Linked DNA regions of Arabidopsis thaliana. The protein of the gene in region 2 interacts with the protein of the main gene of each other region in a pairwise test. Each region holds a gene or a part of one and is shown on either strand. Other genes may lie near its edges. The genes, in order: AT2G24250 and AT5G48360.

What was found.
Region 1: the proteins of AT5G48360 (region 2) and AT2G24250 interact in a protein complementation assay, tested with the Arabidopsis thaliana proteins (one large-scale study listed by BioGRID).

The regions. Positions count from the first base shown.
Region 1 is NC_003071.7:10,312,468-10,316,973, forward strand, and holds AT2G24250 (LOW protein: F-box/kelch-repeat protein (DUF295)), read right to left. Parts: upstream 2,514-4,506; 5' UTR 2,392-2,513; intron 2,125-2,391; 5' UTR 2,094-2,124; coding exon 969-2,093; 3' UTR 599-968; downstream 1-598. Other genes in the region: AT2G24255 (LOW protein: F-box/kelch-repeat protein), read right to left, coding at 3,586-4,506.
Region 2 is NC_003076.8:19,593,321-19,599,007, reverse strand, and holds AT5G48360 (Actin-binding FH2 (formin homology 2) family protein), read right to left. Parts: upstream 3,473-5,687; 5' UTR 3,293-3,472; coding exon 1,965-3,292; intron 1,876-1,964; coding exon 1,709-1,875; intron 1,624-1,708; coding exon 1,385-1,623; intron 1,292-1,384; coding exon 677-1,291; 3' UTR 516-676; downstream 1-515. Other genes in the region: AT5G48370 (Thioesterase/thiol ester dehydrase-isomerase superfamily protein), read left to right, coding at 1-3, 160-342; AT5G48350 (Polynucleotidyl transferase, ribonuclease H-like superfamily protein), read right to left, coding at 4,843-5,442. UniProt on the Arabidopsis thaliana protein: Might be involved in the organization and polarity of the actin cytoskeleton.

The DNA.
Region 1 (4,506 bases), on a different chromosome or scaffold from region 2:
GTGGTCCAAAATCTCAACCTCAGCTTCTTTAAGGTTTTTTGAGGATTCGTTACCTTAGTACATGTGAGTGGTTGCAACTGCTACTGTCTTTTGGGGGCAGTTAAAGTTTATATCTTCATTTCGCTTTTCCTTAAAGATTCAAGATTTTAGCTTTTAGTTTTTGGAAGGAATTTTCTTTTCTCATTTACACTTTCCGGGAAAGTTTGTGGCATAACAATGTGAGCTACCACATTGGATAAGCTCTGACCTTTAAAGAATCTAGTTCACTTCTTACCATCACTTTGCAAAATCAGTCTCTACCCTCTCTGTTCCATTTCCATTCTTAAAAGCTATATTCTCATTCAAGAATATTGGAAATCTGATATGTTAAAAAAAAAGATGGAAAAGCTTACCTAACCGTTGAGAAAATCAAAGACTCCCTCAAGGCAAGTACAATCAGCTCGAGTAGTCAAAAGCAATGTAGTTTTCCTGATTATCACCTTCTTTCTTGAAAGCTTCCCTGAATCACAGAAAAGGCTTAAATTTGATACAAAACTCAAACGTACCAACTGTCAAGATCTTCACTATCCCAAGGATACAAACTAACAACGAAGTGATCCTGTTTACCGCTTTCGGACCAGTTTTACCTACGGACTATGCAACACATGCACCACTACTTCAAACCAAAATGTAGTAGCAATATACAACGATCAAAAAGCTCTTAACAGAATAAAAGCAAGAATAGTAGTTGTATGAGGGTATGGCATAAGGGGACGACATTGCTGCTATGCCTGCAACAAGTTTGATAAGAACATAGCTGGTTACCAACAAATCTTTCTAGACTAACTACAATAGACCATTGCACATTTGCTAGAGATCATGTATAGTTCGAGTTTTCAAGTACACAAAATCTAGACTTAAAATCAAAGGAAAACATAGCCTTTGATCTAATAAAAACAGAATAACAGTCTGAAGTGAGAATTTGCGGCCTAGCGTTCAACCCGGAAAGACAGGACCGGATCATATCTGTTGCGGAACAACACACGATTCTCCCTTGAGGATCTCCAACAATTGATATTGTCTTCAGCCTTTCTTTTATTTGTATGTACTCCATATTTATAGGGGTAAGTTACATTGCGTGACCCAACGGTGAACAAAATCGAGTCCCCAGTCAAACCACAACCATGAGGAAGCTCCTTAGCGGAGCAGTAGAAATTCCCCAGGTGTCCACCAAGAAACAAAACACGGTCTCCCAAATCGCTGACCTCAACCCATTCAGCAGCCTCCTCATCTAGCCTACTTACTCTACATCTTAGGAAGTCTGTCTTAACCAGGAAAAGCTCCTCATTGCCAGATGGAACCAGAAAGTTGGAGTCGATATGAGGTGTTAGGGGAGTCGCTTCCAGCGAAGAAGGATCGATAACGAACGTGTCCCCATTAAAGAAAGTTGCATAGAACCTTCCTCTAAAAGTGAATAACTCCTTACATGAAGCAGTTGAGGGTTTCTCAAGCCGAATCCATCTCATTTCAGTACTTCTTAACACCAAAAACAAATCAGTGCAGTCGAGGAGCGCAACGAATTCGCCTCCTCCTCCTTGTTCGTTTAGCGGAAGAAAAGCTGCACTGTATTCTTCAGGATTGCAACCGATCATCAATCTGTACTTATGGCCCAGAGGGATGATCTGGCAGTCAAGCATGTTCATCAAAATTGGCTCAGTTCCTGGAACATTGACTTTCACTGAGCACTGAAGAGGAGATGGAAGCTCCACATGATCATTTGACTTATCTTGGCCTAATCCTCCCAGAAAATATTCGGAGGAAGCATCAGCAGCATCAGGAGGAGTTAGAACTCTAAAGAGGAACAAAGGGACCTTCTCCAGGGTGCAGCACAAGTCTTTGCTTTCTAAAGGGAAAGCGGGAAGAGAGTAACTTTGGCGTAATAGAGAAGAAGGAAATGGAAATGTGGATCGCCATGAGCGGCAAACAGAGCGGGCATGAACAGCATCGAAATAGTGATCCTCTAGATGCGTTGAGATAATGTGAAGTAGCTCTTCAGGGAGCTGAGACCAGTCTGGCATTATCGATGATGTTGATATCTTCTTTTTCATTGCCATGCTTGCTGCTGAAGAACACAGAAATTTACTGCTGCAATTTCGAAAATTTACAACTTTTTTTTAGGGGTTTGATGAAATTGCTGAAACGATCCAACTCTTCCATTTTTAGAAAATTCTCAGTTCATTCTTGGAAAATAAAACCCAACAGGAAAAAATTGATTTCACTGAAGCTCCAAAGGTCATAATCAATTCTGGGTTTGATCAATTTGCCACAGGAAAAACTAAAAGTTGGTAACAGAAAATTCACAGTTCATTATAGAATATTCGCAGGGATTAAAGAGATAGGTCGTAGTAGTACCGTAACTTGGAGAAAAAGTTGGAGCTTCCTGCAGATTCTTCAGAGCCCTTTCGTAGCGTCGACAAATGGGGATAGAGACTAGTTAAGATTTAGAGCGAATTTGGTTTGGGGTTGGATTGATTGGGAAAGCAAAGAACCGAAGGGATTGAGACGGTTTATATCAAATGAGCCGGTTAAGACTTTGGTTTTCGGATAGACTTGAGATGACGTCGTTTTTGCATTATGTTGTTGTTATGTTTCTTTTCTTCGTTCTGTTGATTGTTTTGTACTCTTGTTTCTCTCCTCTGTACCCAAGAATATTTTTGATACTGATTTGCCAAGAGGTATCTTCGATCGGTTTGAATCTTAGGAACTCGTAAAGTGATGTGAGTTCTTGTTTTTGGAACGGTTAATAAACGCTAGTACGCAACATTAATGAAATAACACAGAGCTTGGTAACCCCATCAATGAAACTCCCTAGGCTAACTATAGAAGTAAGTTTCATTTTCCTTTAAAGATGATTTCAAGAACTTAGCTTTAGCTTTTGGAAGGAATTTTCTTTTCTCATTGACACTCTCTGGGAAAGTTCTGGCGTAACAGTATTAGTATGTGAGCTACCACAGTGGATATGCTCTGATCTTTAAAGAATCTAGTTCACTTCTTTTCATCACTTTGAAAAAACAAATGTCTACCCTCTCTATTCCACTTAAAAGCTATATTCTCATTCAAAATGACATCGGTATAATATGTTAAAAAGATGGAAAAGCTAACTTAAACGTCGAGAAAAATCAAAGACTCCAGGGAAATATCAACGAGCTAGAGTAATCAGCCATTGCTTTATTGAGGAAGTCTTCGGGAGCTACACGGTCAAAAGCAATGTAGTTTTCCTACATTTAGTCCATATCGTCGTCATCAAGCGCCAGTTCCATTCAAGTAGCAAGATTTTTAAACTGCACAAGGCAGCACACAATAAAAGATCAGTGACCAAGAAAAGAGTTTCTATATCGTGGCTAAACGTTTCAGTTTTGGACAGTGTCAAATTGTTCAAAAAGATCATGATGACGAAAAAAAGTTATAAGAACTCAGAACTGAGATTTAACTTCAACATTAAATACCAGTGATCCAACAATGGGTAACATGAGATATCACAAAATCCATACCTAAAAATATGATAGGAATTTATGTTTTTATTTCTCTAAAGCAGGATTTTACTGCCTAGCAGTCTTCATGGAGAGCCATAACCGGAAAAAATGGTTGAGTATCATCACACGATTCTCCCTTGAGATCTTTTACCGCACTTTGTTTATAGTATAAAAATGCATTGCCTGACTGATCGCCGAACAAAACTGCGTTCTCAGTCAAACCAAAACCCCGAGGAAATTCCTTAGCCGAGCAAGAGAGATTTCCAAGTAACAATACACAGTCTCCCAAATCACCGACCTCAACCCATTTACCAGCCTTCTCATCTACCCTCCTCACTCTACGAGCTAACCGACTAAAGTCTATTACAACATCATTTGGGATGATTACCTCAACCAGGAAAAGTTCATCTTTGCCATATGGAACCAGAGACCGTAATTCTCGCGGGTCCTGAGGTGAGGACAACAGAAGAGTCACCTCCAGCGAATAAGGATCGATAACGACGATTTGTCCTGAAAGAAAAAGTGCATAAAATCTGCCTCTAAAAGTGACTATATCAACGCATATAGTATATGGGACGTTCTCAAGCTGCTTCCACCTCATTTCAGCACTTGTTAACACCAGCAAAGTGTCAGAGACTTCGAGAAGCACAACAAATTCTCCTCTTCTTCCCTCCTTGTCTAGCCGAAGAAAAGTCGCGCGATTATATTCCCAACCGATCATTCTGTACTTATGGCCCAAAGGGATGATCTTTTTTGGAATAGATGCTGGGATCTTCACGTTCACTAAACATTGAAGAGCATCGGAAAGCTGATCATCAGCAATATCAGGAGATGGACCTTCTCGAGGGTGCACATGTTTTTGCTTTCTGAAGGGAATTCGTTGAACGAGGGAAGAGAGTAACTTGGGCGTAACAAGGGAGACAAAGGAAATGTGGATCGCCACAAGCTGCAAACAGAGCGAGCATGAACAACATCGAAACAGTTGTCCCCTAGA
Region 2 (5,687 bases):
GAGGTAAAATTCTAACTTGATGATGGAGCTTTCTTAAACGGTTGTTAAAATTGAACTTGCTCACTGATTCTATCTTCATGCCAAAATTTCTTGAACCTTATCAGATTTGAAGCTCATTATGTTAATTTTGAGGTCTCTTTTCTGTTACATATGATGTAGGTTTCAAATACATTCTACTTCAAGTTCACTGTAAGGCCAGAGGCAAAGGCCAGAAACAATGGGTTTAAACTTCGAAATGTAGTTCCTGCCACAGAGGAAGAAGCTCGTCATATCCTCGAGCGCATGGATGCAGAAGCTTTGAAGTCAAGCAAACAACAATGTGTAGGCACAATTCTTCAGTAATGGTTATGGTGTTTCTATGTTTAAAAGACCTGGCTTATCAGGTTTATCCTCTGACCACAAATTAACTAGAAATGTAGATGCATTTCTACTGTATCTAAACGATTCGCTAATATGACCAAAGATATGGCTTACTTGTGCAACTCATTGATTTGTGCTTGTCGTAAGGGTAACATGTTAAAGCATCAAAATTAGAATCATAGCATCAAAACCTAATGAATTGTCTTCCAAAAACTCATACAGAATTATCCAGAAATGGCGTTAGTCATACTGGTTACAATACAATGAAACTAGAGATGCGTTCCTAATCATTACATTAAAAATCTTACAATGGGAATCAGTCTCCCATTTCCTTACACACTTGGTCTAGAACAGACAGGAAGTCTCTCACAATCATGAAGATTCTCATTGTGTGACCTTCCTTGGAAGCATCTCCATGGAACTGCTCTGTGACCTCTTCCAATGCAGAGAGCGTTGAACTTTCTCGTATTTTAATCTTCACAATCTCCTCTGCAGCGGTTTTCAAGAACCGGGTCATCCTCTCCTTGAACTTCAGCCATTGATCTCCATATGAACCACTCTCCTCGCTAAGTAGCAAAAGCGCTTCAATGTTCTTGAGTCCTTGGCAAATCCTTGACACATTGCTTCTTAGTACACCATACTCAATGTCTGCCGATTTCTTGACATTGCTCAGTTCTGTATTCAGGTTTCTGATGCCTTCTAAAGCTCTCACACTGCCTTCTGATTTCATCATTTCCTGAACAACAAAATGCAAGAGACTGCTTCTTCCATCTAATCCCTTGACATCAACGAGCTTGAGGAGCGTGTCGAGTTTGAAGGCATCCGCATCCCCACAGCGGTTTGTTCTAACACTCATCATGTTTCCTGTCTTCAGTATAGCTTCAAGAAGTATCGAAAACATTCTACTATTTCTTAGTTCTTCACAAGCAACCTGCAAAAGCAGATAAGTTTAATGAGTAATGAGACATAACATAAGATTACATCATTAGACACAAATATGTAAATCCGCAATCATCAGCATTACCTGAACAACACTGAATGATTTTCTGAGACGTTTGATCTCCGAATGGAAATTAGCCACAAAAAGCAATGCATCAACACGTTTAAACACAAAAGGCACATGAAGCAATTCCTTAAGAAACCTCTCAGCTGGACCAATCTCTGAACCATCACTAAAGCTCTTCAACTTCCTCTCTTCTTCTTTACTAGGTGCTAATCTTGATAAACACTCAAGAAGTTCAGCTCCAAGTACATCACAGTCACCTAAATCAATAACTCAAAGAACACAAATCAATAACATTACAAAAACAAAACAAAACAAATGGCAATACATTAAAGATTATTTTACCATCAAGAAGAGCTTGACAAACATCCTTAGTGCTTAAGTTAAGTAGTTGAAGCAGAGTAGCAATATTCTGTGCCTTTCTTGGATCTAAAACTTGATTTTGAATCGGAAGATCTCTTGGATTTGACGAGTTTGCAATGAACATAGTCTCTACCATCTCTTTGCTCAATCTAGCACAGTCAGAAAAGATAGACTTCGTTAAACTCTTATCAACAAAAGTAGAAACAAAGAGAAAGAAGAAAACTTTCACTTCACTTACTTAGAAGAGCTCGATCTAAGACGTTCCCAATGCAGCTGTTTGGGAGGTTGGTCTGAAAAAGATTGCTTTTTTACATCATTTTGAACCACAAAAGGTTGAGACGGTGGAACAAGAGGAGGTGGTCTGGTCGGAGGAGGAAGAGCAGGAACTTTGCTCTGTTGAGAAGAAGATTCACCAATGTTGATAACAAAATCTCTTCTTGATGACGCAGTGTGAGAGAGCAAAACAGACTTCACATTCCGACTAAAGTCATTCCAAATCGGCGGCGAACTATCGAGAAACTTCCGGAATAACCCATCAGGAGAAGTGGAAACTGAAGAGTAGAGAGACGAAAGTGGTGTTCTTATGAATCCTCTGTCTGGTGAAGTAGAAGCAGAGGAGATACGAGGAAACCCAAATCCCATATTTTGATTCCAGAAGCTAAACATTCTTAGAGAAGACGACCCATTTCCGTTATAGTTCTTCCTTACTCTTAGTCTCTCCGGTGACGGAGACTGGAGGTTAGTGGCGTCTGAGTATCTAGGGTTTGGTGGAGACATGGTGATAGAGAATGACCTAGCTGGAGAAACCCAACCGGAGCAGGAGGAAGAGCATGAATGAGAAGGGCTTGAGTTCGCTGAGCCAGGGAGAGAAGCCATTGGTGAGAAGAACACATCTTCTTCTTCTTCTTCGTCTTCTTCGTTTACCTCTGTTTCATAGTTGTTATGGTGGAAGCTACGAGGAGGTAATGGTGGTAATGGTCGTATCTCCGGCGAGTCTTGCTTCAAGAAAAAAGTACCTCCGGTTCTAATATGGTCAGATTCCTCTGTATTGAGGTAAAAAACTTCTGAAGGAGAAGTAGTAGCAGCCATGTTGAAGTTAGTGGTGATATGACTCTGTTCATCACCATAGCTGCTTGTGTTGCTACTAGAACAATGAGAGTTCTTTAAATGACGAGTTTGCCCTCGGTGGCGGCCGTAGAGAAACAAGGCTAAGCCTATGACTGTAGCAATGACAAGAACGGCGGAGAGAGCTGGGAGGAGAAGTGTAGGTGAAGTGTGGTGTGGTTTAGAGGAGCGAGGGAGGACTAAGGCGGAGATATTAGCCGGAAAAGTTGGAAAGACGGCGAAAGTTGTCGGAGGAGTAGGCGGAAGAGGAGGAGGTGGAGAAGGAGGGGAGGATTCAAGAGGGAAGAAAGGAGGGCTAATGGGGGATAGAGGAAGAGGAAGAGGTGATTCATAGTCATAGAGGAGACGACGGCTGAGAGTTACGGTGGATGCGTAGGATAAAGGAGACGGTGGTGCGCATGTTAGCAGGAAGAAGAAGATGGCGAACCAAAAGTTCTGCATTTTTTTCTGCAAAGCAAAGCTCTCTCTCTCTTTCTTTGTCACTGTTCAACACACAATAAGAGAGTGAAAGAAGTTAATGGGGCACTATTATGGATGTACCTGTGTGACTGAGCTAGGGCCTATTGAGTAATAATAATACTCTGCAACCATTTTTACTTTTATCGAAGTAACTATTGATGTGTTTTTGTTTTTGCAATACAAATCCTTGTAATATTCCTTTTTGCAAAAGTTTACCGTTTATATTCCAAAAATGAATGACAATTAACTAACCACCAACGGAAAAAACAGTAATACACACCTTTTCTCAATGTCGTTTTAAGAATTTTATGTTGTGTTGTTTCTCTATAGAGAACGACACTTGTTACAATTTTTTTTTTTTTGAAGCATTCTATGTATTCTATAGGGTCAACAACGAGCTTCCTTACCATCTGAGTTATTAATTTCGTTTTCATGCAATCAAACAATGCTCCTTGCTTTTCGTTTTTGAATAAAAAGAAAACACATGTTTGGATGATCGATATAACCGAGGCTTGTATTTGTATTGCAGCTTTTTCTTTGGTTGGGTAGTTGTCAATTGTCATGTACTTTAAGGATTAGGAGGGTAAGTTTGCAAAAACTAAATACTTTGGAGGTTTTTTTGTAAAATAACATTTTACATATAGTTACAATATTAAATTTGCTACATATGCATTTGTATTCAAATAAGATTTAGTGAATCCAGGAACAGAGCGTATATGAAAATGCAATAATTACTTGGAACTCCGAAGTTTACCCGTCTTTCAAAAGAATCTTTTTGACTCTTTTTTTCTGACTCTCTTCTCTCCAATACATGGAACTTATTTCTTTTTCATGGAAAACATCAAAAAACTGTACAGTTCTACTTTGTCATTTTATTCTAAAATAGTTTCACTATCTAAAGGTAGACAATGCATAGAGGCCCACTTATTTTGGGTTCTAAGCCCAAACTCTTATACATTAGTTAAAATTTGGGTTTTATTAATCACAAATTGGAAACTAATCCCGCAAAAAAAAGTTACACTTTACATAGATAAGATTAAGAGATGATGACTGATTTGTCCCAAGAAAAAAAATGATGATCATTTCAGTTTCATAACTCTCTCTTCTCTCAGAAGCTATTTCATTGCTTCAAGTTGAACACTTAATTAATCATCCTTCAGCCCCCTAGCAGCAGCGGCTCAAGATTTCGTTATGTGGTCTAATAGGCCCTAATCAACTTTTAATTATCAGGCCCAGTTCAATAGCTCACGTGGTGTAGTAATAATATTATACCTTTACCTTGACCTCAGAGTTTAGGGTGGCTACAATCATTCAGACTCTAGCTAGTTGAACGCTTATTGTGGCAGTCTAATTAACCTCAAAACTTTCCCAATATTACACTTTGTGGTCTAACAGAGAGAACAAGAACAAAAAAATGAAGAACCAAATACCACATTTTGTGGTCTTTAAAACGGTTGAAATGCAAACTACAACAAGATACTGAAGAACATAAGAAAGAAAAACAAAGAAAGACAAACAGAAATCTAGATTCATTAACTTAAAATCTGAACATCCAACAAAATGTTCCCAATGCCAAAAGCAAAGTATGCATTGGAGGCTGCAAGCTTGATCTGGTTCTTATTGAGAACAAATTTCTCCCAGTCCTCAAGTACGGCATTTGATGGTCTCTCAGTCGAAACAATAGCACTGATCCTAAATTTCACATCGGTCGTCATATTGGTCAGATTCCATGTGGCGGGTCCAATCTCAACAACATTCTTGCAGGTCAAACCAAACTCACTCTCAAGCCTCATCATAGTCTTGTTTATGCCAATGCCCACAAATGTGAACTCGGGTAGATTGAGAAAATTGAAGAGGGGGAGTGGCAGATTATCATCTTCACCTTCACCTTCATCTTCATCTTCATCGGGAAGTTGTACTATTAGACAATTGTCACCATCGCAGAGCTGCAACAAGACGGTCTTATTTAGCTTTCTTCCCTTTTGCACCCGTTCGGTATCAAGACCAATGATCTTCTTCCTGTTGTTTTTGTTGGACAAGAATGTCTTCACAAGACGGTTGATATCTCGCTCTTTTTCAGTTACCGTTGTTTTGATGCTATCTATTCCGATTTTAACAATGGAAGAAGACATCTCTGAAATAAAGAGGGTAAGTGTTAGATAACATTCTGAACATACGTGTCTTTATATAGACATGAAAGGGAATTGCAAAAGTCACAACCTTTAGAGAGGACTACAAAGAGTCGAAAGTATGATGATGATAGCTGTCTCCAACTTTTAGATTAACGAGGCATTAATATTTGTTACCATCAACCTTTCTAGAGGAAAACGAAGAGACGAAACTTAAATGCATGTCGACCTTTTGGTTTCACGAGGCT